Danio rerio: one gene and its partner. The protein of the gene in region 2 interacts with the protein of the main gene of each other region in a biochemical or structural test. Links are inferred from orthologs where the notes say so. Each region holds a gene or a part of one and is shown on either strand. Other genes may lie near its edges.

What was found.
Region 1: the proteins of cysltr2b (region 2) and dlg3 interact in a test that uses a peptide from one of them, tested with the Homo sapiens proteins (2 studies listed by IntAct, with this or other methods). The link is inferred for Danio rerio from reciprocal best matches to the Homo sapiens genes CYSLTR2 and DLG3.

What each region holds. Positions count from the first base shown.
Region 1 is NC_133189.1:37,721,850-37,726,059, reverse strand, and holds the start of dlg3 (disks large homolog 3), read left to right. Parts: upstream 1-1,335; 5' UTR 1,336-1,560; coding exon 1,561-1,920; intron 1,921-4,210. UniProt on the Homo sapiens protein: Required for learning most likely through its role in synaptic plasticity following NMDA receptor signaling.
Region 2 is NC_133190.1:3,203,654-3,207,871, reverse strand, and holds the start of cysltr2b (cysteinyl leukotriene receptor 2), read left to right. Parts: upstream 1-1,417; 5' UTR 1,418-1,690; intron 1,691-4,218. UniProt on the Homo sapiens protein: Receptor for cysteinyl leukotrienes. The response is mediated via a G-protein that activates a phosphatidylinositol-calcium second messenger system.

The sequences.
Region 1 (4,210 bases), on a different chromosome or scaffold from region 2:
ACTTGCACATATTGGTCCATTCATTCAATACCTCAATTGTATTGTCATGAGCCACTAGTATTAATTTTGTTGGTCTGTGCTTTTTATTATAATTATTTTTCTTTATTAAGTCATTGGCATTTTATGAATCAAAAAAGAAAACTTGTTTCAGCTAAAAATTTTATTATTGTTTTATTGAAGAAAAATAAAGACATTTTAGATAGACTGAAGCTGGGTAATTTAACAGAAAATTGACATTTTCGGGTGTACTATCCCACATTATTACACACTACAAATATGAATGTTTATAACTGAATATAGCTGTTAGACAACTGGTTATTTCTTTGGAGTCAAATCTGTTTTTGTTTTTGATCTATGAAGTTTCATGGAGATTATAAACAAGCCATATGTATACTAGTTACTAATAGTAATATATATATATATATATATATATATATATATATATATATATATATATATATATATATATATATATATACATACACACAAACAGACACACACTAGTTAATACTCTTATAATGTAATTAGATTGAATAGATAGGTTTTCTGTCAGCCTCGTATGTTACACGTCTTCAGTATAAACCCTCAAGGCAGGTCTCCAATCGGGCTCTGTGTGCAGAGAGATTTTTTGGTGTGCTGGCCCTTTAAGAGCAGTCACTGAAGCAGTCAGCCCTGTGTTGGTGCTGCTGCTGATGGCTGTGCTGTGAGTTGATTGGCTGTGGCTGTCAGGGCTGAGGTGCTGGAGGGATGCTGCTACGCATCTCTCTCTCTCTCTCTCTCTCTCTCTCTCTCTCTATCCCTCCCTCTCTCCCTCGCTTGCTTGCATCCCTTCGTATAATCCACATCTAGGGCAAGCAGGCTGAGAGTCAATCCAGTGCTCAGCTTCTCTCTGCAGACTGGGAAAAGAGTGAGAGAAAGAAGGCAAGAAAACGCTTCCAGAAGCAGGAGGAAACGCAGAAGGAAGAAATCTGGCAAGCAGAGACTTTCAGAGGAAGACCTGATCACGGATATCGTTTATATATAGAAATTGTTTATATATATATCTATATATATTTGTACACACGCATATTGATATTTATAGAAATATATATGTATACATATATACCTGTATATAATTGTATTTGTGCTCGTCTGTTTATATTGATATTTTTATATGTACTTGTGTGTGTGTAAATATATACATATATAAACAAATGAATATATATATCTATGAATTTATATACATATCACTGTGAAGCAACAGAAGCAAGAAGAGAACTCGACCATCGGGGCTGGTCTCTGATTCCGAGATCATACACACTATTTTCAGCATTATTTTTCCAAGCCTTTTGCATCGACTGGAGGAAGACTACCAAGCTTTTTCTATTTTTCATCACCCTGTTGCTACCTCCTCATCTCTTTTTGTGGATCGCCAGGAACAAAGAGGAGGATAACAGGGTTTGTGAAGATTTCTGCCATTTGTGCTGCCGTTCTGCGCGCTGCGTTTGATCTGAGCAGGGAGCAGCAGCAGCAGTGAGATAGAAAGAGACAGAGAGCGCCGCACCGCGTGAACTAGCCAGCATGCACAAACATCACCACTGCTGCAAGTGCCCAGAATGCTATGAAGTGACCCGCATGGCCGCCCTGCGCAGGATGGACGCCCCAGCATATGGAGAATGGCAGCCCGAACCCTACGGATACCCGGCCGGCTATGGGGGTGGCCAGACCTTACCGCCCCAGACCTCGGGTGGAGGAGGGGGAATGGGTGGAGGGGGCACTTTGGGGAGAAGTAAAGGGAAAATGATGTCAGCTGGGGGTCCTGGAGGTCCCAACCCTAAGAGCCAATCCAAGGGCGGCCCCAAGGTGAATGGTAACAACTCAGGAGGGCAAGGAGGATGGTGGCCCGAGTGCACCTGTTCCAACCGGGACTGGTATGACCAGGTAAATGGCGTTTGGGGGCTGTTGGGGGCACTGAGAGTAGGCAGCAGGCGGTAGGCAGTTGGTGTATGTGGTCTCTAGCTTGAAACCAAGTAGAATCAGCCAGCTCCCTTAGGCTACTAAGCGATGCATCGCTTTTTTTAAGGGATTCATCCAGTGTTGATCCTTTCATACTGCATGTGCTGTAATCTTACAGTATGCTCGTCAAGATTGATTCTTGCAGAGGAGTTTAATCTTCATGTATTTAATGCTCCATCGCTGCTTTATGGTTTCATCAATCCCCTGTGTACATACTTATCTAAACCGTCATCTGACAAGGATTGACAGGGCCGCTGTGACCACGCAACAAGTGAATGTAGCTCCGCCAATTTAATCCAAGGATGGCAGTGACCCTGCCAACACTGCCGCTGACCAGGCGGAACACACGATCAAATCTAATTTCCAACGAGTAATGGATTATTATTTTAGATTCAGGAGGTGAAGATGTTGACAACGTGTGCATTTTCATGTTCCTTTTCAGCCTGTTGAGATACAGCCAGAAGCGAGACGTCGAGCGTTATGCACTGTTCGTCTATCTTTTCAGCTAGATTTTAACCTCATGTAGCAGAGCGTATTAAACTGAACCTGGAAACAGAAGCTGTAATTAAGTGAGGTGTGTGTGTGTGTGTGTGTAAGTGGCAGCAGGGGTGGGGGAAGGGTCGCTCTGAATGTATAAAATGGAGGAAGCAGGCTCTCATGTGAGAACGAGCCGCATGCATGCTCTGTGCCTTCAGTGTGCGTGCATGTCTACGGTGTGGGGGTGTGTGCGAGCGCACAGGTTTTTATTGGTAATTGTCCATGGCCGAGGGAGAGAGGATGCAGAGCGAGTGGCGGAGATGCAGAGAAAATGGAGGGTGAGATCTCGGTGGCAGCGAGGGTGAAATTTCACCAAGCGCAGGGAAGGAAGGCGTGAGCAAGGAGCTGACTAATTCTGCCTCCGTTCAGAGGATGGGAGAGGCATCAGTCAAAAGCAGTGCGGTTTTTCACTCATTCGCTTTTGTTTTAATCATGAATTATGCATGCCTTCTTGGCAGCATTTGCTGTAAACTGAACAAATGAACCCTTAAGATCTGACATTTCCTGTTTATTCTCAGTTTCTTCAGTAATTTCCCTCTTATTTTGATGTATGGCGTGCAGCAATGTGAAAATAAATCAAGCAAATATCTTCTCCTGAGCGCCGCACGCAATACCTGATAGGCACAAGCACTCCTAGGGCATATTGATGGAGTGTATGTTTAATTAATGAGAAGGAAATTGTTTAACAGAGGTATATAGGACAATGTCGCTATTAAAGATTCTCGTATGTGAGGAGGAGACCATGGATCATCTTGCTGGTTTCTCCTCCTCTGGTTAGGCTGTTGTCTGTCAAGATTATTAAAGAAGCTTTAGTTATCTTTGAAGGCCTCGTGGATGTGTGTCATTTGCGAAGGCTATCGCTTCTGAGGTACATTTGAATTGGAAGGCTGTGCAGTAAGTAAAATGGAAAAAAGCTGTTTGATTTTTGGCAATCATCACTACAGCACAAGATAGTGGTAATAATGTGAAAAACAGAGAAATCAGCCAATAAAGACAGGCGAGCTGAGGAAACAGAGTGGGTTACATAAGAGAAGGCAGTTGGTGGGGCTGCAAGAGGAGACGCTTTGAGAGAGAAGCCATGGATTTGTGAGCTAACGCTTGCCCACTGTTTTCTGGAAGGCCAGATTTAACTGCTTTTTAGTGCTTAGACTATAATTCCACAGTGATATCTGAAGGAAACATAATATTCATCTCAAGTGAAATCATGTAGAAGCTTCTTATTTGTTTTGTGGCAGATCTACAGATCTGTTTCCTTGCACTCTGTTATTGTGAGCAAATTGCATCACCCCTTCGATTTAGAGCTGTTTTTTACTTTAGTGGTTGAGTGTGTAGGTTTTACACCATTTAAACAGAAAAGGCTGTTTTTTTTACATGTTCTCTGAACCGAATAGGTAAATCCCATTGGTTGAGCTAACATAGCTTTAACAGTTAATGTGGAAAACACAGCTTTTTTAGTTTTCACATTTTAATCTATACATGTTAGAAGGTATTTACATGCAATATATATGTCCTCCTGTAAAGCAGCATACTCATTAGATTTAGAATCTGTTGTGGCATCCCATTTGATGTATTTCTGAGTGAAACTGGATTACTGAATGGGAAACAAATGTAGGTCAAGAGTTACTTTGTTCATTTATACCCAATTGTATTTATCTGTAGTTGGTTAGATTGTGGAAAG
Region 2 (4,218 bases):
AACAAGCAAACCCTACTTGTATTCAAACACTTTTTCCCCAACATAAACTTTCTTTGAATTAAAAAAAGATTAAATGTTTTTAAAAAGTTTTAACAACTATTATAAACTAAATAGCAGTCGCCTCACAGCAAGAAGGTCGCTGGTTCGAGCATCGGCTGGGTCAGTTGGTGTTTCTGTGTGGAGTTTGCATGCTCTCCCTGCGTTAGTGTGGGTTTCCTCCGGGTGTCTCCATTTTTTTACAAAGTCCAAAGACATGCGGTACAGGTGAATTGGGTAGGCTAAATTGTCTGTGGTGTATGAGTGTGTGAATGTGGATGTTTCTCACAGATGGGTTGGGGGTGGAATGGCATATGCTGGATAAGTTGGCGGTTCGTTCCGCTGTGGCGACCCCAGATTAATAAAGGGACTAAGCCAAAAAAAAAATGAATGAATGAATAAACTAAATATATACAACAATCTGTCCAGGTCGCTTTCCTCAGCAGTAAATAGATAGAGATCTTTTAAACGAATGTTATTGTTAGGAATATAATTAAACCGGTAAATAGAGTTAAAATTATATTCTATAAATAAAAAGTTTTATTGAGATGATTGTTGGTGATTGTATGGGTTTTGGCCAGATTTGGTAGCTATAAATGAACAAAGGAAAATTAAGACCGGTTTAAAAAAAGATTTAAGACCTAAAACACAATATTTCAGTTATTTTAAGACTTTTACGGCATAACATTTAAATTTTGAGATTAAAGACATTTAAAAACCAAGCAGAAACCCTGTTTAAAGCACTTTATCTTAAGTGAAAAGCCAATAAAAACACAATACAGGTGACATATTGAGGTATGGTTGGTTTTGTATTTCCACATTCGTTCAGTGACAACTTATATATTAAACGTACTTGTTTACCACGTTACTTTGAATATTGGGTCTGAATTCGCATGCAAAGTGACATTAAAATCACACTAGCATGGTGTACTTTCCTAGTCATTGGCTGCTAATGTGATTTATTTATAATACTAAATATTGTGTAAATATAATAACTTCATCTAAATACGTCAAGTTTTACTGAAATAACATAGCTGTCAAAGTTTAATTAGCTTAAATAAAACATTACAAACCAAACAACGTGTGACTAAACAAAGTCTGCGTTAATAGTAACGTTAGCTGTAAAACATCTAAGTACTTTTTAAACGCATTAATGAGTGCATGTGTAAACAAAGACGCGTTATTATTATTCAGCTGTTAGTTAGCTAACAAGCTAACTATCGTTTATTTTCATAACACCTCCACTGCTTGCAGAGACGAAAACAGTCCTCGAGTCTGCACGAAGCTCAAGCTAACATGTCAGATAACACCACCCGAATGTATACGAAAGTTGTTAAATTAACTAAACACAACTAAAGGTGTTTGAATGGGTAAAGCTGCTAGCTGATGTTAGCCGAGTGAGAATGACGTCACGGAGAAGTGTCAATCCGTCTCACGTCGAGTTTTACAAATAAAACTCTGAATGTTTACCTCGTGTTAAATGAATCGTCAAGGTCTTCATTCCTGTGGCAGATTAGGATGGAGATGGTGGAGTAAAGCGTCAATTCTGCATGTCTGCGAGTTGAGGTGGATGTTCAGTCCTCTCTCAGCTGGCAGTGTCTCATATGGGTGGATTTGAGCGACACAGGATTTCAAACTTCCCTTACAAGACATGGTGACTACAGCAAAACCACATATTAACTGCTAATATCGGTAACGTTATACTGTAAATACATGATACACTGGTTAATCCTTCACTTTAACCCTTACTTTTTGAACAGACATAAAAAATTACATGTTCAATAAAATTGTTTATTTACTGGAAAAAACAGCTTAAACCAGCCTAGACTTTTGCCACTTCCAGGCTGGTTTCCAGCCATTTCCAGCCTGGTCTTAGCTAGTCAGGCTGGGAGGTGACCAGCTAAAACCAGCTTATCCAGCCAAAACCAGCTATGTCCAACTTAAACCAGGCTGGTCAAGCTGGTTTTAGCTGGTTAAGGCTGGTCATTTTCCAGCCTGACCAACTAAGACCAGGCTGGAAATGGCTGGTAACCAGCCTGAAAGGGGCCAAAACCCCTCTAAAACCAGCCTGGTTGACCAGCTAAAACCAGCCTAACAGCACGTAGGGCTGAAGCTGACACTAGTGGATGCTCTGGAACTCTGGGGCTGAAGTCAACACTATGGGGCACCCTTGGTCTGAAACCAACATCGGGGGGGGGGGGGCTCTGGGCCTGAAGTGGATACTCAGGGGCCCTTTGAGGCTGAAGGCAACACTGGAGGGCACTCTGGGGCTGAAGCCAACACTGGGGGGCACTCTGGAACCAAAGCAGACACTGCATGAACTCTGAGGCTAAAGTCAACACTGGGGGGCACTCTGGAGCTAAAGCCAATAATGAGGGCTCTCTGAGGCTGAAGCCAACAATGAGGGCACTCTGGAGCTGAAGCCAACACTGGGGGCACTCTGGAGCTGAAGCCAACACCCTGGGGCACTCTGGGGCTGAAGCCAACACTGAAAGCACTCTGGAGCTAAAGTCAACACTTTGGGGCACTCTGGGGCTGAAGCCAACACTTAGGGCACTCTGGGACTGATGCCAACATTGAGGGCACTCTGGGGTTGAGGCCGACACTGAGGGCACTCTGATGGCTGAAGTCAACTCTGAGGGCACTCTGGGGCTGAAGCCAACACTAAGGGCACTCTGGGGCTAAAGCCAACACTGGGGAGCACTCTGGGGCTGAAGCCAACACTGAGGGCGCTCTGGGGTTGAAGCAGACACTGGGGAGCACTCTTGGGCTGAAGCCAAAACCGAGGGCACTCTGGAGCTGAGGTCAACACTGTGAGGCACTCTGGGGCTGAAGCCAGCACTAAGAGCACTCTGAGGCTGAAGCAGACACTGGGGGCACTCTGGGTTGAAGCCGACACTGAGGGTACTCAGGGACTGAAGCCAACACTGGTGGCACTCTGGGGCTAAAGCCAACACTGAGGGCACTCTGGGGCTAAAGCCAACACTGAGGGCACTCTGGGGCTGAAGCAGACACTGGGGGCACTCTGGGTTAAAGCCGACACTAAGGGCACTCAGGGACTGAAGCCAACACTGGTGGCACTCTGGGGCTAAAGCCAACACTGAGGGCACTCTGGGGCTAAAGCCAACACTGAGGGCACTCTGGGGCTAAAGCCAACACTGAGGGCACTCTGGGGCTGAAGCAGACACTGGGGGCACTCTGGGTTAAAGCCGACACTAAGGGCACTCAGAGACTGAAGCCAACACTAGTGGCACTCTGGGGCTAAAGCCAACACTGAGGGCACTCTGGGGCTAAAGCCAACACTGAGGGCACTCTGGGGCTAAAGCCAACACTGAGGGCACTCTGGGGCTGAAGCGGACACTGGGGGCACTCTGGGTTAAAGCCGACACTGAGGGCACTCAGGGACTGAAGCCAACACTGGTGGCACTCTGGGGCTAAAGCCAACACTGAGGGCACTCTGGGGCTAAAGCCAACACTGAGGGCACTCTGGGGCTAAAGCCAACACTGAGGGCACTCTGGGGCTGAAGCAGACACTGAGGGCACTCTGGGGCTAAAGCCAACACTGAGGGCACTCTGGGGCTGAAGCAGACACTGGGGGCACTCTGGGTTAAAGCCGATACTGAGGGCACTCAGGGACTGAAGCCAACCTCGGCGGGCACTCTAGGACTGACGTCGACATTGAGGGCACTCTGGGGTTGACGCAGACACTGGGGGGAACTCTTGAGCTGAAGCTGAAACTAGTTGCACTATAGGGCTATAGCCAACAACAGAGGGCCCTTCGGTACTGAAGGGTACACTGGGGGAGCGAGTGGTCACTGCTGACATTCTCAGGAGGCAGGTGCATAGTGAATCTGCCAGTATGTAAGGTGAAAAGCACACTGGCAGAACTCCACCATACATTTGACATCAGGTCAAATGTACCTCAAAATACTTTCATCTCCCACTGTGGTATACACTTGAGCCGAGCACTGCATTAAAGACTGGAGAATTAACAAGACCAAAACAAAAGAGTCCCGACAATCAGACCATCATACATTAAAACAATCACCATTTTCCTGAATCCCACACCTAGTACATCCAGAGAAACCGAGAATTTTCAAGTGGTTGATTTTTTTTGTTTCTCTCATAAAAGAAAACAACCTTCTTCAAATGAAACAACACATTCTTTATGAAAGATCAGTC